Linked DNA regions of Saccharomyces cerevisiae S288C. The protein of the gene in region 1 binds, or shares a complex with, the protein of each later gene. Each region holds a gene or a part of one and is shown in the gene's direction. Other genes may lie near its edges.

Region 1 (5,749 bases):
TTTATCAAATGCACGGTTAGAAGAGCTCAAAGATGCTCTTCCTAAGATGGACTCGTTGAGTTTGGAAGATGAACTTGCGAAAATAGATGGCCAAAGTGCATACCACATTGATTCCGCAGAGGAAAAGGAAACCTTTGAAAGTAAAATAGGCCAAATAGCTTCTAGAAATAGTGCAGACTTCATAATAGAGGAGGACTTGCAAAATATTTTAGATGATGATCTTAAAGACTCAGAACTTAACTTGGATGGCGAAGAAGCCGAAATAATTTTCGATTATGAGAGCCAAGAACTGGATACACCGGATGGTATAGGGGAAAAGATTTCTCAAATGATAGAATCGGTGTTACCGGGAGGGTTTGGAAGTGAAGAACAGGGGGGGTTGCGAACTGTAACAAATGTAGAGGATTTAGATGTTGCAGAAGAAGTCACAGATATCGATCATGATACCGTTGACGCAGCTCGTTTGCATGGAGACGGTCAACATTCCATATCTTCTAGAAAGCACAGCAGGTCAAAGAACTCGAAAAAGAATGGGCATGTAAGGCGACATGACTTTTATGACGAATCTAGAGACCATAAAAGTTGTTGCCCGCATCATCATTATGAAAACTTATCCAAACTACGAAACTACTATTATCATGATTTTGAATATATTTCCAGAACGGAAAACCGTGTTCCAGATTTCTCTGTCCTAGTTAACGAATCAAGTCCCATGTGTTTATTTTGCGAGTACTACATGGTGTTTGGTGAACCACCACGTAACATGATAAAGTGGTATAATCGTACGTTTGGTTACAATCGTATGCCGAATCCACCAAGAGATGAACAAGATAGTAGGAAAAGGAATAGATAGTCAACATTATTACTGTAGGAATAAAGTAGTATAGGGAACATTACATAATAGAGGAAAACTTGTGAGGAAAACTTGTGACATTCTAAACGTATTTAAGAGTTATTGAAAAATTAATGGTGTACGACAATATTTCTCTTTGAATATTTATATGCTTCTTAGCGGTATTATGACTAAATAGTAACAGGAAAAAACACAAGTAAATGCAAATGGGTTTACATCAGTAATCCTGCCGGTCCATTTAGCATATATGTGGTCGAGCTGCCCCATGCGGTGTGGCGTTTCTCCTTTCTTGATTCATATTCATGTAATAGCATGCACATGCAAGTAAGTATCTGACTATCCCACGGCACATTTTCAATGATATTAGAGCCCATTTCAGTATAATTGGTAGATGTTAAACTAGAGCCATCATCAAACGAATCAGTTTCTTGTAAGTACAAGGTAGCTACTCTCAAAGTTCTTTTTTTCGGTATGACACTAACTTTATCATCTGTGTATCTGGCCCATACTGGGAGATAACCCAGCGGTCTTGTGGGACGGGAACGGCTGTAAGAATCAAACTCTTCAATAGTTTGTTGGTTCATGTAGGATGCCATCGTATCATCGAGTACAAGTAGGTTGATGCTATTTGAGCCAAAAGGTGAAGCTAAACTAGTTGTCCCGTACCAACGAAGATTTAATCCATGAATTGCCGTATCCGCATTTTTCCTTTGATTGTAATTAATCATGGGGATATGAACATCAGGTTCATCTTTTCTATGAAATATAAAATCGTGCTCTACCCTGCTCGAAAAATTATGGCTTTCCATTTTTTTTAGAATAGTGCAGAATTCATATTTATATATGGAGACATTTTCGTTTATTCGAGAGACCACTTCTGAGTTTAATGGAGGTTTATCGCATTGGGAGTCTATCATAACGTATTTATATATCCTCATTACCGGTGTATTTTGATCACTGAAAAGCGACTTGACCAGGTTTAAAGAAATGGCGTGAAATAGGGGAAGTCCTAGACCCCTCTTTGGATCAATGTTATCGAGCTTCCTCTTGTTGTGTAAAAATAGCTGGAGAGATTCTTCACTGGGGAATGCAAAAAACCCTCGTTGTAGTAGCACCGAAACGAATGGCATGGCTCTTTCTGACGTGAATCTTGGGGCTCTGTTAACATAACCCTGTCTTTGTAGGTCTCCAATTGTTGAGCCTTCTGATACCGCTGTATTCAAAGTAGCTGCATCCGCACTATCATCGCCCTCGTTGGCAGAGGTTTCCAGAGATTCATTTTCTCGTGCAAATATTGTAGATTGGTCGTCTCCATAACCATTAGCTCCCAAGAGATTGACGGTGGATGGAGACCCACTGTGAGGATACGGAGGATGTTGGCGATTATGTCGGCGTCCCCGGCGATTTCCAATCAAAGAGCGTACTCTATCCATGCGGATCTTTGGCAAATGTATGTAGCACTTCTCCTATCGTTCAATTTGATGCTCTTTCTTTTCCAAAAGCCTTACTTGTTCTTCTTCTTCACTAGTAGTGAAGGGCTTTAGAGATGCCCAGAACCCAGACCATTTTAGACGCGTTATGAAATAAATATTGCGCTGAAAATTCAAACTTCATAATAAACAAAAATCATTAATAGTTTTGTAATTTGATTTACTGTTATGGTGATGCTATGTTAGTGTGAAATAGAACAACAGAAACGATGGGCTTGGACCAGGACAAGATAAAGAAGAGGCTTTCTCAAATAGAGATAGATATCAACCAGATGAACCAGATGATTGACGAAAATTTACAATTAGTTGAACCTGCGGAGGACGAAGCTGTCGAAGATAATGTCAAGGATACGGGTGTGGTCGACGCTGTAAAGGTGGCAGAAACGGCTCTTTTTAGTGGCAATGATGGAGCGGATAGTAACCCAGGAGATTCAGCTCAGGTTGAAGAGCACAAAACCGCACAGGTCCATATTCCCACTGAGAATGAAGCGAATAAGAGTACGGATGACCCATCCCAGCTATCGGTTACTCAACCTTTTATAGCGAAAGAGCAGATAACTCACACCGCCATTGCTATTGGTGACTCCTATAATTCATTTGTCGCAAATTCCGCTGGAAATGAAAAGGCAAAGGACTCCTGCACTGAGAACAAAGAAGATGGTACAGTCAATATAGATCAAAACAGGGGTGAAGCTGATGTTGAAATTATCGAAAATAATGATGATGAATGGGAGGATGAAAAATCGGATGTTGAAGAGGGGCGAGTAGATAAGGGAACAGAGGAAAACAGTGAGATTGAATCTTTCAAATCACCCATGCCCCAGAATAACACCTTGGGCGGTGAGAACAAGTTAGACGCTGAACTTGTATTAGACAAATTTTCTTCCGCTAATAAGGATCTAGATATACAACCGCAAACCATAGTTGTAGGAGGTGACAATGAATACAACCATGAGAGCAGCCGTTTAGCTGATCAAACACCCCATGACGATAATTCAGAGAATTGTCCCAATCGCTCTGGAGGAAGCACTCCCTTAGATTCTCAAACTAAAATTTTTATCCCTAAAAAGAATTCTAAAGAAGATGGTACCAATATAAATCACTTTAATTCAGATGGTGATGGACAGAAAAAAATGGCGAATTTCGAGACACGACGCCCTACAAATCCGTTCAGAGTTATCTCGGTGAGCAGCAATTCCAATTCAAGAAACGGAAGTCGTAAATCTTCACTAAATAAGTATGATTCGCCAGTCTCCTCTCCTATCACATCAGCGTCTGAGCTGGGCAGTATTGCCAAGCTGGAAAAAAGACATGATTATTTATCCATGAAATGCATTAAGTTACAAAAGGAAATTGACTATCTAAACAAGATGAATGCACAGGGTTCTTTATCTATGGAAGACGGAAAGAGACTACATAGAGCCGTAGTGAAGCTTCAAGAATATCTTGACAAGAAAACGAAGGAGAAATATGAGGTCGGAGTGTTATTAAGTAGACATCTGAGAAAGCAAATTGATCGTGGCGAAAATGGCCAATTTTGGATTGGAACTAAATGATTACATTACGCCAAGGGTTGTTATAAATATTTATAAATTAAGACAGATATATAAAGTTAAAATAAATACCAAAAGAACATAGACAATCGTAAGAGAATAAGAATCCTTTATCCTAGAGCCATCCATCTGTTATTTTTGATGTTGCTGACTTTTTTTCTGATAAATTCTATTATTTTAATAGTAAAGAGGTGAGTATTTCGCCTAAACGTAAACAAAACGATAATAAAAAAAAAAAAAAATGAAGACAAAATGTTCAGATAGTCAATTATATTGTAATAACATGAAACGGAACAATAACAGTACCCAGAATTCAATTTCAATGGCGTTGTGTCTTCTTTTCTCTAAGAACTTTCATAAACCAAGTCGTACTTAACCGCGCTAGCGATAACCCTGCTAACTTTGTCGCAGAGGGAAAAAAGTAGAATCGAAGGGAAAAATCACGAAAATTAACTGGGCTGAATAGAATGAATTCAGTCATACGGTGATGGTTTTCGAAACAAACTGCACATTTTTCCAGTTAAAAGGACCAAGTTTGGTTACTGATACGTGAGACTAATTTGTTCTCCAGAAACACAATAATTTGGTGCTACATTGCCAACGCTCAGGAGTGGTTTTAAGCTCAGAAAAGTTACTACCAAAGGGGTTCAACGTAAAAGTGAATTGTGTTTTCTTATCGAGAAAAACTCTTTTATTATTCAAGTGAGTTTTCCACTTATTAGATTCCTATCTTTTTACCGATCTCTATTATTTGATAAGTTCCTTAATCAATTCGTGGATTTTTATTTTTATTTCATTCTTTTCATTTCAATTTCTGCATTCCAAATACACCTGCCCAGTCTCTAGACCCTGCTTAATCATTATGTCAAGCGAGGAACGCTCGAGACAACCAAGTACTGTTTCAACTTTCGATTTAGAACCCAATCCTTTTGAACAAAGCTTCGCCTCTTCCAAGAAGGCTTTGTCACTTCCAGGCACGATCTCCCATCCGTCTCTACCAAAAGAGCTTTCACGAAACAATTCTACCTCAACGATAACACAACATTCCCAACGTTCCACTCATAGTTTGAACAGTATTCCAGAAGAAAATGGGAATTCAACCGTTACAGATAATAGTAATCATAATGACGTAAAAAAAGACTCACCTAGTTTTTTACCAGGCCAACAAAGACCTACTATAATATCTCCGCCTATTCTCACACCTGGTGGGTCGAAAAGATTACCACCTCTACTCCTTTCTCCCTCTATTTTATATCAGGCAAATTCAACTACGAATCCCAGTCAGAATTCACATTCTGTTTCAGTCTCTAATTCAAACCCTAGTGCAATAGGCGTTTCTTCTACCTCCGGATCTCTGTATCCAAACAGCTCTTCTCCTTCAGGGACTTCACTTATACGCCAGCCACGAAACTCGAACGTGACCACAAGTAATTCTGGTAACGGCTTCCCCACGAATGATTCACAAATGCCTGGCTTTTTATTAAACTTGTCCAAATCTGGGTTGACACCTAATGAGTCCAATATCAGGACCGGGTTGACACCCGGTATTCTTACGCAATCTTACAATTATCCCGTATTGCCGTCAATTAATAAAAATACTATAACAGGTAGCAAAAATGTCAACAAAAGTGTCACAGTGAATGGAAGTATTGAAAACCACCCTCATGTTAATATAATGCACCCAACTGTAAATGGTACACCACTTACGCCGGGATTGAGTTCTCTGCTAAACTTACCATCTACTGGAGTTTTGGCTAATCCAGTATTCAAATCAACACCTACAACAAATACCACAGATGGTACCGTCAACAACAGCATCAGTAATTCCAATTTTTCCCCAAATACTTCAACGA
Region 2 (5,563 bases), on another chromosome or scaffold:
CCACCATGTGGGGCCGCTGGGGAACAGCAACGTAAAACACCTGCGCGGATGATCCAAGAGAAACCCAAGACTTTCCTTAAACTGAGATAGGTCTCTCGAGGTCTTGAACATGATCCAAATGATAAATCGTAACATAATTGGGAAGCCTGTATTGCCTATGATGATGAAGAACATCATGAAAATCAGCGGATACGGCGCAGTATCAAAGGAAACCATTGAATCAGCGGTCAAAGACAGACCCAAGTTGCTGAATGCACTCATTGCAGTGAAAAACCCCCACCAGGTTGGAGAAACTCCATTTCGTCTAATAATCTCTGAGTAGTGGTGCCTCGTACAGGCCCATGGAACGATGGTCACAAACGCCAAAATGTTGAATCCGATGTAGTATACCATGAGAATGCAGCACAGCAATCTCAAAGCACGATATTCGACACCGCCGAGTTCCTCCTTTTGTTGCTTTGTGAGTCCAATGAAGACGGAGTTTCTGCCAAAGGTTGGCTGCCACGATAGATAGTTGGTGCTCATTGTTCTGGTGAAGGGGTGGCCTATATCACCTTCACGTCGTTTTGGTTTGGGCGGGTGCGCTTGGAACTGTAAATTCAAAGACTCTTGCGGTGAAAAGCTCATCTCCTCATCAACAAAAGATGAAGGCGCCGACTTGGCCAAGTTTCTATGATTTTCAACTACTTGGCCTGAGGTTTTAGGACTCGGTGAAGCAGTATACGTTGGGATGTTACATGATTGCGTTCTAGATATTTTTTTCTTCTTGGTGACCATATATTTGTGAGGAGCACCGTCAAAGTAGTCATGGTCACCTTCATCTCTCCGCAAGCCAAGCAATTTCTGGAAACTTTTCGTCTGGGCTAGCTTGTTCAATTCCTGAGAAGATGGCAGGACAGAATGGCGTTTCAGTGAGCAGTGGGGGGCTCTTCTCTCATGACGTTCCTGCACAATGAAAGCGGGTCCATTGGTCTCGCTCGAAAAAGAATCCGTGGAGTTTGCGTTGCTCTTCTCTTGTTGTTTTTGTAGCATCATTATCGATTTGTAAATGTCTCTTGGGTCAACGTCTGAGGGTTGGCGCTTACTTGAGAAGTTTGGAGGCGAGCTTTGCGTGTCACTGGATTCCTCCTTAGAGGAGGAAACATTCAACGGTGAGATTGAGGACAATGCGGACGTGTCAGGAGAGTCCATCGGCACATCTGAAGCGGATTGTCGTGGGTCTTCTCTGGAAACAAACTTCCCACGGAACAGGTTGTCCTTGAAACTCCTACTTCGAGCGGCATTGCCACTGCTGCCCGATAGTTCCCTTTGTTGCAACGTCATGGTCCTTCTTAGTTTAAAATTCTGTTTGGAGATATCCCTAATGTTGTCGAAGTACCTTTCAAACCAATACAGCCTGACAAAGGCCAAAAACCCATGAATAAGTATAGGCGTGGACAGCAATGTAATGACGTACACCACTATCTGCTGGTACAGGTTGAAATCGTTAGTGCTCTTGGTGGCCAGCCCGCCCTGTGTAGACGCTCCAGCAGCCAGAAATAGCACATCGATGAACGCCGTGTTCTTGCACGGATATAACAGAATGGACCCGATAATCGACAGCGTGATCAGGTAGATATAGTGCACCACGATGAAGTTGGGGAAAACGTATTTAGCAATGGGTCTGCATGATTTTAAGAACCCGGAAATGAAGTCTCTTAGCCGATGGCCCCATGATTTCTTGTGCACCAACCGTAACTGGAAGGGCAGTGCCAACGAAGCCCTGGATGACGTCCTCTTAGCTGTTGGCATGAGTGGTTCTTACAGCCTCTTATCGTCGGTGAATAGTACAAAATAGCCTCTTTTCTCATCATCTGAAACCTAGTTATTCCAATATCATTTCTCTTTTTCAGCCGCACGGCCGAGGGGATTAGAAACGAAAATTCACATCTCATCCTATTCTTCGCAGGAGATCAAAAGTGAAAGAGAGAAACGGGAAACAACCATCTGAGCATGGCAGCTTGCATCAAATTATCAATCATCGTGTGATGTACCATGGCCTATTCAACGGCGGTACGCTTGTACTACAGGGCGCTTTCAGCGCATGCCGGGCACTCCCTTCTTTCTTCCGTCGTCTTGCATCTCTCTAATCCCGTCGCTATGCTCTGATATAACCGTTGCCAAAGTGTCAAGCTGTTGTGAAATTGTGCTGGAGGCATTGATGGTTCTTGAACTCTTCCTCTTTTTAGTCTGGCTTTAGCTTGATTGGGCACGGGCACTCAATGGACGGGGTATCCACCCAGCTTGGAAAGGGGCATATAAAACCAAAAGAGAACGTTAAGAAAAGTGCAAATGAAAATAACAGACCGGGAGATCGCAAACGCAAACGCAATAAATGTCGTTTTGGAAAACATTGCAGAGACAGCCACGTACCATCTCGTTGTTTACCAATGACATCGCGTCCAATATCAAGTCGCAGAAATGCCTGCAGTTGCTGAAGGGAGACGTCTCTCATCGATTCGACGTGGAAATCGCCAACCGCTTTCCCACGTGGGACCAGCTGCAATACATGAGAACTTCGTGCCCGCAAGGCCCAGTTTCGTTGCAAAGGCAGATTCCAAAGCTGGATTCAGTGCTCAAATACAAGCACACAGACCCGACGTTCGGGATGGACCTGCAGAAGTGTGTCCAGAGGGGACTTTGGAATCCAAAGGAGGCGCTTTGGGTCGACTGGGAAAACAAGTTGGTGGGAAATGAGCCCGCAGACATTGACAAGTACATCATTCAGCGCAAATAACACCTATATACCACTATATTGAACACATACATATTTTTATAACAATGGGCTATATCTTTTTTGTATTACCCGCGTAATTGGGAAAATTTTTCCTTTTAAATAGCAGCGTTTGGGATCAAAAATGGCAGTTTGATGGTAGATTAGGAGGATTTAGTGAGCCCAGTGGGACCAAGAGCAAAGCGCAAGATCATGTCAGACCCTATCAGAACGAAACCCAAGTCGTCGATGCAAATCGACAACGCCCCTACGCCTCACAATACCCCAGCATCGGTTCTGAATCCGAGCTATTTGAAAAACGGCAACCCAGTTAGGGCCCAGGCACAGGAGCAGGATGACAAGATCGGCACCATCAACGAGGAGGACATCTTGGCTAACCAACCCCTGTTGTTACAGTCCATCCAGGACAGACTTGGCTCGCTGGTGGGCCAGGACAGCGGGTATGTGGGGGGTCTTCCCAAGAACGTTAAGGAAAAGCTGCTGAGCTTGAAGACTTTACAAAGCGAGCTATTCGAAGTTGAAAAGGAATTTCAGGTGGAGATGTTTGAGCTAGAGAACAAGTTTCTGCAGAAGTACAAGCCCATTTGGGAGCAGCGGTCCAGGATCATTTCAGGACAAGAGCAACCCAAGCCGGAACAGATCGCAAAGGGCCAAGAGATTGTGGAGTCACTCAATGAGACGGAGTTGTTGGTGGACGAAGAAGAGAAGGCCCAAAATGATTCCGAGGAGGAACAGGTGAAGGGAATTCCCTCATTCTGGCTAACCGCATTAGAGAACTTGCCCATCGTTTGCGACACGATCACTGACCGCGATGCGGAAGTTCTGGAGTACCTGCAAGATATTGGTCTGGAATACTTGACGGATGGTAGACCCGGTTTCAAGCTGTTGTTCAGATTTGATTCTTCCGCCAACCCATTCTTCACCAACGACATTCTGTGCAAGACCTACTTCTACCAGAAGGAGCTCGGTTACTCCGGGGACTTTATCTACGACCACGCAGAAGGCTGCGAGATCAGTTGGAAGGACAACGCCCACAACGTCACTGTGGACCTAGAAATGCGCAAGCAGAGAAACAAGACCACCAAGCAGGTGAGGACCATCGAGAAGATCACTCCCATAGAATCCTTTTTCAACTTCTTCGACCCTCCCAAGATCCAAAACGAAGACCAAGACGAGGAGTTGGAGGAAGACCTCGAGGAACGTCTAGCTTTAGACTACTCCATCGGGGAACAACTTAAGGACAAGCTAATTCCTAGAGCCGTGGACTGGTTTACCGGCGCAGCCTTGGAATTCGAGTTCGAGGAGGACGAAGAAGAAGCGGACGAGGACGAAGACGAAGAAGAAGATGATGATCACGGCTTGGAGGATGACGACGGGGAATCTGCCGAAGAGCAAGACGATTTTGCTGGCAGGCCGGAACAGGCTCCTGAATGCAAGCAGTCATAATCCCAACGCACTTCGCAAGAGTGGTCATAACCGTATTCATATATTTATATACATATGTATACATACATATATAGATATATATATGTATATACATGTAAGTGTGTAAGCTGAAATATATGTTAAAGCGCATGTAACTAAGACGACAATAATAATAATAATAATGATAATAATAGCCTAGATTTTCTCCGCCGTGGGGGATGATCGTATTCTTTCGGATTTAATAATATAGCAGCAAGGGTTATAAAAGGAAAGATAACGGAATGTATCGGTAATCATTAACCATCACTCACTCTCCAGAACCGTAGCGTAATTATGTCTGAATCATCTATTTCTTCTTCTAAACCATCTGTGGAATTGCCACAAGCAACCTGGTCGCATCTGCAAAGATACCCAGCTTTATCCAAGTTTATTAAATATGCGGAATCTCTGCCACCTGTGGAGAGATTGATTTCCTTCAACCTCGTTGTTTTGGGATCTGTGAACCAGTGGGTTTCCGAATCGTCCAGCTCTCCTCGTCTGGTGAAGCAAGTTGTTGCTGCTGGGAAGGAAGGGGCCTTCAAGTTGGACGAGTTAGTTAACCTCTTGGTGTTCAAGGAGGGTGTCGACGGCTTGCTGTACAATTGGAAATCACATTCCAACACGCCAGGGATCTGGCTGGTGTGGTTCTTCGTCGACTACGTCGCCAACATTTCTAATACTCTGTTGAGGGAGTTCCTGATCAAGCCATTGCACTTGCAAGGTTCTACCGCATCGAAGGAGATCGGCTCTTCCGGTGAGGAGAACAAGGTCACTGATGCTTCTTCTTTGCCCCACGTGGCAGAGTTGTCTTCAACGACCAGAGGTATGTCGCAGGAGATCCAGTCCAAGGTCAAGTCGAACTATATCGACCCAACCAAGGACCTGGCTAAAGAAAAGTACGACGCCATAGTGAAGCCCACAACTGACAAGTTGCAGTCTGTGTACATCGACCCAACAAAGACTAAGCTTAACGAAACCTACCAACGCTTCACCACTGTCTATGAAAACAATCTAAGTAAATCTGAAAGCGTCCCTAAAGCCATTGTATCCACCGGGTTGGACTTGGGCAATGCCACCATTGAGAAGCTAAAGGCCTCAAGAGAAGACCAAACCAATTCTAAGCCCGCGGCTGTGTCGACCAATTAGTAATTTGGTTTTGCGCTAATCGTGCGCCTGATTTTTTTTCCTGCCACTCTTATATAGTTATTTGTTATTATTCTATTATTTCATCTATTGTTTGCTAGCTATTATGTACGTTGCTGTTTGAGCACTATATACAATTGAATACCAAAGAAAAAATTATAAAAACGAAAAAAAAAAAAAAAA
Region 3 (6,007 bases), on another chromosome or scaffold:
GTAGTTAGAATTTCATCGAGGCCATTGAAGTGACCACATTTTAAATTTTCTTTGTAAGTACTGTTGGTCTGTAGATCAATGTCAAGCTTGTCTTGAATGAACTCGAATAAGATTTTCATGAGTATAAATCAGTTTTTTTTTTTTTTTTTTTTTTTTTAATTTTTCACTTTTCTATTTCACTTGTGTCATTCATTGCCATGCTTTACTTTTTTTCATTCCTAAATGCGAATCACCAATAGCTCATCTAAAGGTATATATTATTCAAACCTCAGAAGGATAATATTCATGAGGGCGTGTTAGTTATGGTTAAGAAAGTTAATAATCCGCTAAAAATCGATTATCAGAACGGGATAATAGAAAATCGGCTTCTGCAAATTAGAAATTTCAAAGATGTAAATACGCCCAAACTAAGTATGTATCTATGAGATCTAACAGAAATCAGGATCAATTAACTAACTTTCAAACATATATAAGTGCAGTCAATGTATGGAGTATAAGAATAGATCCAAGAGACTCGAAGAAAGTAATAGAGTATGTATATGATTTTTGCTTTTGTATTCATGGAAGTAAACTAACTAGTAAAGTAGGCTAATTCGAAACGATTTTCAGAAAAATGACCCTGTTTCATTGAGACATTTGAAAAGGATCCGCAAGGACATCGAGACCTCCACCTTGGAAGTGGTGTTGTGTTCGAAAGAGTATATTTGCGACGAAGGTGAAATAAACAATAAATTGAAGAGTATTTGGGTTGGAACGAAAAAGTATGAACTGAGTGATGATATCGAAGTGCCTGAGTTTGCGCCCAGCACAAAGGAACTGAACAATGCCTGGTCTGTGAAGTACTGGCCGTTGATTTGGAACGGCAACCCCAATGATCAAATATTGAACGACTATAAAATAGACATGCAGGAAGTACGAAATGAGCTATCGCGTGCGTCGACGTTGTCTGTGAAGATGGCAACGGCAGGAAAACAGTTTCCAATGGTGAGCGTCTTTGTTGACCCATCAAGAAAGAAGGACAAAGTGGTGGCAGAAGATGGCAGAAACTGCGAAAACTCGCTACCCATCGACCACAGTGTAATGGTGGGCATCCGTGCGGTAGGCGAAAGACTCAGGGAGGGTGTAGACGAAGACGCAAACTCTTATCTGTGTCTTGATTACGACGTCTATTTGACCCATGAGCCGTGCTCAATGTGCTCCATGGCCCTGATCCATTCTCGTGTGAGACGAGTGGTCTTCCTTACAGAGATGCAGCGCACCGGGAGCTTAAAATTAACGAGTGGTGACGGGTACTGCATGAACGATAACAAACAGCTAAACTCAACATACGAAGCCTTTCAATGGATCGGCGAGGAATATCCTGTGGGGCAGGTTGACCGGGATGTCTGCTGCTAGTTTTCCTCTAATAGATTAATATAAGATTGTATAATTTGTAATAGGCCAGGAATGGCATTGTCTCCTGCACTCGGTGAGCGAACCATATTTTCAAATTCTGCTAGTTCCGAGGTCTTTTCCTGAATAGCATCATCCAGAATCTGCAAACGCTGTTGCAACAGGTCATTAATCTTGTACAGCGCGTCGATCAGTGTCTCGAGGCTAAGGGAGTGTGATAGTTGCTCGCTTTCCAGAAATCGCAGTAATCTAGAGCGCAACGTTATGAAAAACTGCTTGATTCGTGCTTCTAACTCAGAGGTCACTCGCGCATCCCTGGCCTGAAGCAATTCGTACCAATGTTGCAGTTGTTGCTCGTCGCTCGTGTACGACTGTAGTTGCTGCTTGAACTCTTGAAAACTTATCAGAGTAGTGAGTAGCGAATCCGAAACATAGTTATGCAGCAGCTGTTCAGAGTTCATTTATAATGGTAATTTCAAAGCAAGATTGGGAGCACAATTGTCAAATCTATGATTATTTTGTTGCGTTATACCCAGCTTTTGGGCTTTTTCGAGAACGATCTTCGTTGTTTTTCGCTGTTTCTCCGCGAAGCGGGCAGCGGCGACGGTAATATTGGCTGTTAATCTATTGTTATCTTGTAGTTGTACAAGATCATTCCTTTAATTCTATATATTAACTGTTCGTGGCGTAACAAGAAATCGATTCTGACATCAAATGGAAGACATCAGCAGTTACACTAGTGGTGCAGGAAAGGCACCGCAAGGGAGTGCAAGAAGCTGTGAGAAACAACTTTATATAACTTGCTGCTTGATAATTGTGACAGAATATTCTCGCACCTTGCAAACATATATAGCAGCACCTCTAGATTTCTCCTTCCTTCCTTTCGTAAAAAGGAACCACCTGGGCGGCTAATTTAGTATTTTCGTCTTTTATGATCTACGTGTGTAATGATATGGTGGGGGCGTGTTTTCGCTTCCCATTTTTTGCCATTTTTTGTCTCGGTTTTAGGAATTGCGTTTTGTGTTGTTTTGTGTATTAAGTTAAAATCTCTCGAGGAAAGCAGATCAAGAAAATATCAAATCCAGGATCACACGACAACTGAACGATTACATCGGCCTATAATACGTTGCCATGAGTTTAAAGGAGGAACAAGTGTCCATTAAGCAGGACCCGGAACAAGAAGAGCGTCAGCATGATCAATTCAATGATGTTCAGATCAAACAAGAGTCGCAGGATCATGATGGAGTGGACTCGCAGTACACGAACGGTACGCAAAATGACGACAGCGAGAGATTTGAGGCAGCTGAATCCGATGTAAAGGTGGAACCCGGCCTCGGTATGGGCATCACCTCCTCTCAGAGCGAAAAGGGTCAAGTTCTGCCTGACCAACCGGAGATTAAGTTCATTCGTCGTCAAATCAATGGTTATGTAGGGTTTGCTAATTTGCCCAAGCAATGGCACAGAAGGTCCATAAAGAACGGATTCAGTTTCAATCTCCTATGTGTCGGCCCTGATGGTATTGGTAAGACAACTTTAATGAAAACTTTATTTAATAATGATGATATTGAGGCCAATTTAGTGAAAGATTACGAGGAGGAACTTGCAAATGATCAGGAAGAAGAGGAGGGTCAGGGCGAGGGTCACGAGAACCAATCACAAGAACAAAGGCACAAGGTCAAAATTAAGTCATATGAGTCGGTTATTGAAGAAAATGGTGTTAAACTGAATTTGAACGTGATCGATACTGAAGGATTTGGTGATTTTTTAAATAATGATCAAAAATCATGGGACCCGATCATTAAGGAGATTGACTCTCGTTTTGATCAATACTTGGATGCGGAGAACAAAATCAACAGACATTCAATAAACGATAAAAGAATCCATGCATGTCTTTATTTCATTGAACCTACAGGACATTACTTAAAGCCCCTGGACCTGAAGTTTATGCAATCTGTATATGAAAAATGTAACTTGATTCCTGTCATTGCTAAATCTGACATCTTAACTGATGAAGAGATCTTAAGTTTCAAGAAGACCATTATGAACCAGTTAATCCAATCTAATATCGAGCTGTTCAAGCCTCCAATTTATTCCAACGATGATGCAGAAAATAGCCATTTATCCGAAAGACTATTTAGTAGTTTACCTTATGCTGTTATTGGTTCCAACGATATTGTAGAGAACTACAGTGGTAATCAAGTGAGAGGCCGTTCCTATCCATGGGGGGTGATCGAAGTGGACAATGACAACCACTCTGATTTCAACCTTTTGAAAAATTTATTGATCAAGCAATTCATGGAGGAATTAAAGGAAAGGACAAGCAAGATACTATACGAAAACTACAGGTCTTCTAAATTGGCAAAACTTGGTATTAAGCAAGATAATTCAGTTTTCAAAGAGTTCGATCCAATATCTAAACAACAAGAAGAAAAAACTTTACATGAGGCAAAACTAGCCAAACTAGAAATTGAAATGAAAACAGTTTTCCAACAAAAAGTTTCCGAAAAGGAGAAAAAACTACAAAAATCAGAAACTGAATTGTTTGCTAGACATAAAGAAATGAAGGAAAAATTAACTAAACAATTAAAAGCTTTGGAGGACAAGAAAAAACAGCTAGAACTTTCAATAAATAGTGCTTCTCCCAATGTTAACCACTCCCCCGTCCCTACAAAGAAGAAGGGATTTTTACGTTAGCGAAATAAAGACATATAAAAATTTCAAACATACACTATTAAATATTATTACTATTAATATATAAAACGCGAGACGCGTAAAATAAAAAGAAGAAGGGTAAATAGAAAAAAATGGAAATGAAGAAAAACAGAGTTATTCAACTAAATATCTGTTATGATTTGAATCGCAGAATATAAAATTAAAACAGTAAAGTAAAAGAATATCATAATGTGGCCATAACGAAATAAAAAGAATGATTAGCTCAGAATTAACGAATGATCAAATCATAGACCTTATATCGGATTATAAGAATTTCAAAAGAATTATAGAGGCCTCTGTACCAGAAGATGATAGAAGAAGGAACCAAAACCGCCAAAATAGAAATAAAGACCTGACAAAATTGTCGAATGTACAATTTTGGCAACTGACGACTGATGTCAACGATGAATTGATGAAAAGATTGACAGATTCGGGTGCGGATGCATCACTAAATGATCTTGATCTGAAAAGAGGTAAAGCACAATCTAAACTGTCTCGATTGAAGGACGCGAAGTTCCATAAATTGATTCTTGATATTTTCACGGAAATTGAAAGGAGAAACTTACATCATTTGGATATGGGGACGCATAACAATGGGTTAGACGAGGGTGATCTAAATTTCTATTTAAATGACACATTATTTGAATCCTTCAAAATAAACGATGATTTTATGAGCGTGAATGGTATTATATCCATTGAAGTCTTCCGAGAATTAAAAACTCAATTTACACTTTATTTTCAAAACACGCTCCATCGAATTGATCCTGTGGATACCACCACCACACGCCTGCCGATTCTGCTTGAGACTATAATTAAGATAGCAAAGTTGATAGGCGATCTCTTACCTGTCCTATCATCAGTTTCACTGCAAAGTTCTTTAGAAAACGAAATAGTATACTTAAAGAGTGCTTTATCTCATGCTATCACTTCAACAAGATATTTTCTCACATATGGGGACCTAATACCACGAATTGTAGCTCAATCATCTATTTCGGAAGTGATTTTTGCGTTCTGCAATATTGCTCAGATTGTGAAGATCAAATCCACCTCACGTGATGATATATCACGCAATGAAGGAGAACTCAGTGATATCGAGGCAGGTATGAAACCGTTGAAGATTATTGAAAAAGTGAAAAATGAGAAAAACGGTAAGGATATATCATCTCTGGGTGATAGCGGTAGTACTGCTGTTAGTTTTCCATCCTCTGGTAAGCCCATTACAAAAAAATCGGACATGCCAGTGGTTGTAGCATCGCCATCAATTTCCATCATAGAAAAATCTGAATCTTCTATTCGAGAGAGTGGGAAGGTACGAAATAATACATCTGGAGAAACAAACTTAGCGTCTGTGTCGCCGTTAAAAAACACTAAGAATTCTTCAAGAATTACGAGTGAGCCATCTCCGCGAGAAGGTTTGCCTCTGAAAGTTGTCTCGAACTCGAGAAGTCCAAGTCCTCAAGGTAACACATTGCCGCTAATTGGTAAATTTCGGCAGGATTATCAGGCATCACCTCCGAAGAAAGTTATCACTAAACCAGTGGCAGAAACGGCGAAGCCGTATGCAAATATTCCGCCAGCTGCAGACGTACTTTACTCGCCAACCGTGACCAAAATGAGGAAATTCAGAGAGAAAGTGCAGAAATTTGCTCCCAACTCTGGTCTTGGATTAAGAATATCTACTTCAGAAGAAAACTTGAATAATTCTGATGTCAACTCAACCACGCACAACGCTAACATAAATAACCTCGTCGAATTTGTTGAGAGTAAATCAATGGTTGTTCTTCCTATGGCAGGCAGGGCATTTTGAATGATGTTCAAGCCTCTAAATCAAAATTGTTCAAGTCCGCAAGATCAGTTTCGAGATTATGTCAAAATTCCATCGAGATTATTCCTATTTTGGAAT
Region 4 (5,729 bases), on another chromosome or scaffold:
ATAAAGATGTTTGATATCACTTAAATTCAAGACGTCGTGAAACAGTTCTTTAAATAAATTTAGCGTCTCTCGAAGGCCAAAAATCTGTGGATAATGTCCATAATCAGTAGCTAAGTTTTCAATAGAATCCATGGCTGTTTCTACTTCAATGCTCATTAAAACATTTTCTAAATAATATTGGATATTTTCGGGAATCTCATAACGACTACGAATAGTTTGAAATATCATGAAATAAATTATGAGTAAATTTGTTTCTGTCAGGAACACACTGAAATTCGGATGAGCCATTATTTCACGAAGAGCAATCTTAATTTTGTCATTAGTTCTTTGAAATTCTTCCTTTGAAGAAAATTCGTCCTCATCTCCCAAGAGAGCCAGAAGTGTGTTTATATTAAACGTGCAGCGCTTAGGGATTCGGAGCAATTGGATAGTTTCACTTTTCAATTCATCATTCTTGAACTTCGAAGGTTCTACGAAAAGGCCATATCCACTTTTGGGGTCATCAATGGTGGATGGTTTTAATGAAAGGCTTTTATGAATGAAGATATTTCTAGAGTTCGAGTAAAAACGGAACACTTCCTCCATTTCAACTTTCCTTTTGGTTAACTTCGATTTTTCAGTGGTTATGAGGATGGCGAATTATACTATTTCTCTTTTTTTTCCTTTACACGATCTAGCATTGCTAACTACTTTTGATGCATGAAAACGCAACATATATTAGTAAGTGAAATATGTATTGTTGCGAAGATCTTTATAAGATTGTCTACATAGAGGTATTATCCTTCTAAAAATATACATAGAGAAGAGAAAGGATTGATAAGAAACGCCAGAGGATTATACATTAGGTAACGTAAAAACAGCAGTTTCTTCAGCTTGGGTGGAGTTGACAGAATAGTTGACCTTCCACTTGACTTTCAAAGCCTTTGAAGGGTTAGCTGGCGCATTTTCAATTGTACCTTCTTGAGAGATACCATCTTTAGCGTTGCCAATCATAAAGTTACTCGATTGGGGTTGCAATTTCAAAGACATTGACTTAGGGACTGCTAATAAGAACACTAAGTTGGAGATCGGTGACGAACTTAAGTTTGTAAAGAACGATTTTATCCTTATAACTGAGTTTGACTCCCTAGATATTTCGAACTCAATCTTCAAGTTAGGAGACTGATTGACTAGGGTTCTTGCGGGCGCAGTAGTAGTACCTGTTGTTGGATTAAATCCCATCAAAAGATCGAACCCACTACTGTTTACTGCTTGGGAATTAGTTGGCGATTGAGGAGTTGAAAGTCCCAAAAGATCTAAAGTGTTGTTCGAGTTGTTAGTAGTAGTAACTGGTGGTGCGGGTTGAGAGGACCCCAACACGATATCGCCTCCCAGACCAAAGGATGCTTGGTTAGCGGTTGAAGGGTTCGAAATAGATAAATCGGTCAAATCGCCCAATAAGTCATTGACAGATGTTTCCGCTGCTGCTGGTGTACCCGTGCCGTTGGTATTGTTGTTGCCTTGAGAGGGCGCTTCGTCCAAATCATTGAAATCGATTAAGTTGATTTCATTCGTTAAAGCACCAGAAGATTGTTGTAACGGAGCAGAAACATGACTTGGATGTATCTGCGAAGCAGCGTTGGAGTCACCGTTTTTCAATAAGTTGAATTTTTCCAATAGTTGATTAACTGTATCATTAAACTTCAATAGATCCTGCACTAACGCATCGTCTTCCTGTTCTTCCTCAATGATCTTTTGAAATTTTGGTTGAGCTACCTTTAATGCACTGTGAAGTTCTTGTGTAGTTTCGTTATCCCAGTTTTGTGAGTCAGGTGATTCCAGCATTTCATTCAGCAAATCGGCTTTACGCTTCAATTTGTTCAATTCACTGGAAATAGCCTGTTTAGCTTGAACGGCATTGTCTTCTTTGAACCCTGCCATGATTTTCATTAATTTGTTAGCTTCCCTCAAATCTTCAGGTTTACCACGCCTGATCAATTCTTCGAGTTTTGCAGCTTGAGCAATTTCCTGCTCCTTTTGAATTTCACTAGCGGTCTTCAATTGATTACTAGGCTTCAAAACTGCTAGGTCGGATTCACTGATTTTGGGGAATGCATAACCCTTATATTTCAACAAACGGTGCATGTCTCTAATATAACCCATATCATTCTTGTAGCTTGAGTGTTTACAAATTGTTTGATACCATTCTTCAATAGCAGTTAAAATCAATCTCTGAATCTTAGAATAACGTAATGGTGGGTGACCTGGAAATCTCTTGACCAGTTCATTCAAAAATTCCTTTCTAGAAATTTGCAAGTGGAATGGGTATCCACAATTCTTGACAAGCACGTCTAATAGAGATAACGCGAATATTGCCACGTGCGATTCTCTATTGTTGATCAGTTTAGCAAGTGCAATGGCAGCATCCCTAGGGGCAGCGCCCTGTTTTTCATTAATGTAGTCAGCAATGTCAAGATTCAACGCCAAGTCTGGTTCAGCAAGTGACATTCTGCAAGCTCTTTGAATCTTCCTCAAAAGAGGATTGCCCAAGGCTTGAGGTTTCCTGACGGGCAACTCAGACAAATATATGCTATGTGAGTGCGGATGGGACATGATGCAGTATCACGATTAGCAATTCAGCTATGAGTTATGTTGCTCTTTGTTTTGTTTATGGAAATTGTCCTATGGTAAGTCTCTTTTTTTTGCAATCGTGATTACAGAAAAAAAACAGGGCGCTGGAAAAGTGAAGAATCCGAAATTTTTTTCGAAATCACCATTGTTTGTTTTGAGTAGATCAAAGTCTTGAAAGGTGCAGCAAGATATAGGATCTTGACCTGAAGAGTATTGATAACGAACTACATCACATATTGTATCAAATAATGAGTGCTGCCACTGCGACTGCTGCCCCTGTTCCTCCTCCTGTAGGGATATCCAATCTTCCCAACCAGCGTTATAAAATTGTTAATGAAGAAGGTGGTACATTCACCGTGATGTTATGTGGTGAGAGCGGATTGGGTAAAACTACATTTATTAATACCTTATTTCAGACTGTCTTGAAAAGGGCAGATGGTCAGCAACACCGCCAAGAACCCATCAGAAAGACTGTAGAAATCGACATCACAAGAGCTTTGCTGGAAGAGAAGCATTTCGAATTACGCGTTAATGTCATCGACACCCCAGGTTTTGGAGATAACGTGAATAACAACAAAGCCTGGCAACCATTGGTGGATTTTATTGATGATCAACACGATTCTTATATGCGTCAAGAGCAGCAACCGTACCGTACTAAGAAATTTGACTTGAGAGTTCATGCCGTTCTGTACTTCATCAGGCCCACTGGACATGGTTTAAAGCCAATTGACATTGAGACTATGAAGAGATTGTCAACCAGAGCCAATCTGATTCCAGTTATTGCGAAAGCTGATACATTGACTGCCCAAGAATTACAACAGTTCAAGTCCAGAATCAGGCAAGTAATAGAAGCTCAAGAAATTCGTATTTTCACGCCTCCATTAGACGCTGATTCTAAGGAAGATGCCAAAAGTGGCAGTAATCCAGATTCTGCCGCTGTTGAACATGCAAGACAGTTGATAGAAGCAATGCCATTTGCCATAGTAGGGTCTGAAAAAAAATTTGACAATGGGCAAGGCACTCAGGTAGTTGCAAGGAAGTATCCTTGGGGACTTGTGGAAATCGAAAACGATTCTCATTGTGATTTCCGTAAGCTCAGAGCCCTGTTACTGAGGACTTATCTATTAGATTTGATTTCTACCACCCAAGAAATGCATTACGAAACATACAGAAGATTAAGACTTGAGGGTCACGAGAACACCGGGGAGGGGAATGAAGATTTCACTCTTCCAGCAATTGCACCAGCAAGGAAATTGTCACACAATCCTAGATACAAAGAAGAAGAAAATGCATTGAAGAAGTATTTCACTGACCAAGTCAAAGCTGAGGAGCAAAGATTTAGACAATGGGAGCAAAACATTGTTAACGAAAGAATCAGACTGAACGGTGACTTGGAAGAAATTCAAGGAAAGGTAAAAAAACTAGAAGAGCAGGTCAAAAGCTTGCAAGTAAAAAAATCCCATTTAAAATGATGATTAATTAATGTCTTCCTCTTTGTCTCGTCAATTTCAACGCCTATCTCTTTGTCTCTTCTTTTGTCGCAGCAATACGCACATATATATATGTATCTTATAAAAATATTTCAAATATATCTCAAAAAACATAGAATACGTAACACAATCGAACAGTAAAAACAAAAATAAACCGGTTTTTTCACGTTACTCTTGGGCACTTAGGTACCGTTCTGCATCCAAAGCAGCAATGCATCCGGAACCAGCAGAAGTAACTGCTTGTCTATACCTAGAGTCCTGAACGTCACCTGCAGCAAAAAAACCTGGCACAGAAGTCAGAGACGATCCAGGCACAGTTTTTATATACCCCGTCTCTTCTTCATCTACTTGTCCTTTAACTATATCTGTGGCAGGGCTGTGACCTATTGCGTAAAATAGTCCATTTACTTCTAAATCGTTCTCCACATTACTTTTAGTATTCTTAATTCTCAACATATTCAATAACTTACCATCACCCTTAGCTTCTAATGCAACTGTGTTGAACAAAACAATGATGTTTGGATTTTTCTCAATTCGTCTCTGCATTATTACAGATGCACGAAAATGATCCTTTCTTACTAATATATATACTTTCGACGCATACTTCGTAAGAAATTCCGCTTCCTCACACGCAGAGTCACCACCACCAATAACGGCCAATGGCTTGTTTCTAAAGATAGGGACTGCACCATCACATACAGCACAGGCAGATATTCCCTGCTGCCAGTAGGTTTCCTCCCCTGGTAAATGCATTCTCTTAGCGGAAGCACCCGTGGCCAAGATTATAGCATCAGTGGTCACAGGCTCTGCATCCTCATTAAATTCGGTCCATAATCTGAATGGTTTTGAAGATAAATCGACTTTAGAGACAGTCTCGGTAATTATGTTAGTGCCAAACTTGGCAGATTGTTTCCTCATCCTCTCCATCAGTTCACTGCCACTCAACGATTCAGGAAACCCTGGGAAATTTTCGATATCGGTGGTTGTTGTCAATTGGCCACCAGCAGCAATTCCGTTGGCCATCATTCCCTCATATAATGTGGGCTTCATCTCTGCTCTTGCCAAGTATATAGCAGCGGTGTGGGCAGCGGGGCCAGAACCTATGATTGTAACCTTGTGATGAATCATCCTTGACAGCACGGACTTGCTGATGCCAACAAAATTCGTCCTGAATGGCGAAACTATATGTTTTATCATTGTTTATTTATATTAGAAACTGTGGAGTCCGTTTCGTTCTTCCTTTAATGTTGGACGATCCCCTAAAAGTTTTCATTGCGGTCAGCTCAAGGCATTCCCCATCGAGTGATTAATTAACAACGCGCCCGAGTTAAATGGGATAGTAGTAGTCGATGAGAAGAATAGTCGGTTGGATAGGGATGGTGAGCTATGCAACTCGTTTTGAAGGCTCTAGAAACTGTATGAGTATATCTTTGGTCATTTCTACGAGGCTGCTGTTAAGGATGATGTGATTGAGGAAGTACTCGAGCCCTCTCTGTCTTTTTGCCAGCCAGTCCTTGTTCAGATTCACTTCTTGATATTTCCAAGAACTGTACCACTGCACTGAAGGGGGAAGGTGTGGAATCTGCAAACAGTTAAGTTTCTCAGGTTTCGCTGTCTTGATTCTTGTGA

The links.
Region 2: BNI5 (region 1) and NAP1 share a complex: the UniProt entries of both Saccharomyces cerevisiae proteins name them as parts of the GIN4 complex.
Region 3: BNI5 (region 1) and CDC3 share a complex: the UniProt entries of both Saccharomyces cerevisiae proteins name them as parts of the GIN4 complex.
Region 4: BNI5 (region 1) and CDC12 share a complex: the UniProt entries of both Saccharomyces cerevisiae proteins name them as parts of the GIN4 complex.

The regions. Positions count from the first base shown.
Region 1 is NC_001146.8:320,369-326,117, reverse strand, and holds BNI5 (Bni5p), read left to right. Parts: upstream 1-2,552; coding exon 2,553-3,899; downstream 3,900-5,749. Other genes in the region: IBD2 (Ibd2p), read left to right, coding at 1-853; YNL165W (uncharacterized protein), read right to left, coding at 1,066-2,286; SKO1 (Sko1p), read left to right, coding at 4,759-5,749. UniProt on the Saccharomyces cerevisiae protein: Required for normal septin function and cytokinesis. Its recruitment to the bud neck by CDCd11 and SHS1 ensures efficient localization at the bud neck of MYO1, the type II myosin of the actomyosin contractile ring.
Region 2 is NC_001143.9:524,043-529,605, reverse strand, and holds NAP1 (histone chaperone NAP1), read left to right. Parts: upstream 1-2,965; coding exon 2,966-4,219; downstream 4,220-5,563. Other genes in the region: TRK2 (Trk2p), read right to left, coding at 1-1,791; FMP46 (putative redox protein), read left to right, coding at 2,375-2,776; PLN1 (Pln1p), read left to right, coding at 4,532-5,383. UniProt on the Saccharomyces cerevisiae protein: Acidic protein, which assembles histones into an octamer (in vitro). Involved in the regulation of the localization and the function of the septins during mitosis. Involved in the function of B-type cyclins.
Region 3 is NC_001144.5:760,654-766,660, reverse strand, and holds CDC3 (septin CDC3), read left to right. Parts: upstream 1-2,523; coding exon 2,524-4,086; downstream 4,087-6,007. Other genes in the region: EST2 (telomerase reverse transcriptase), read right to left, coding at 1-119; TAD3 (Tad3p), read left to right, coding at 303-411, 480-531, 588-1,395; NKP2 (Nkp2p), read right to left, coding at 1,392-1,853; SPH1 (Sph1p), read left to right, coding at 4,319-5,911. UniProt on the Saccharomyces cerevisiae protein: Septins are GTPases involved in cytokinesis that assemble early in the cell cycle as a patch at the incipient bud site and form a ring approximate 15 minutes before bud emergence, which transforms into an hour-glass shaped collar of cortical filaments that spans both sides of the mother-bud neck.
Region 4 is NC_001140.6:325,166-330,894, reverse strand, and holds CDC12 (septin CDC12), read left to right. Parts: upstream 1-2,858; coding exon 2,859-4,082; downstream 4,083-5,729. Other genes in the region: CTM1 (cytochrome c lysine N-methyltransferase), read right to left, coding at 1-585; GGA2 (phosphatidylinositol 4-phosphate-binding protein), read right to left, coding at 835-2,592; thioredoxin-disulfide reductase TRR2, read right to left, coding at 4,269-5,297; YPT35 (Ypt35p), read right to left, coding at 5,485-5,729. UniProt on the Saccharomyces cerevisiae protein: Septins are GTPases involved in cytokinesis that assemble early in the cell cycle as a patch at the incipient bud site and form a ring approximate 15 minutes before bud emergence, which transforms into an hour-glass shaped collar of cortical filaments that spans both sides of the mother-bud neck.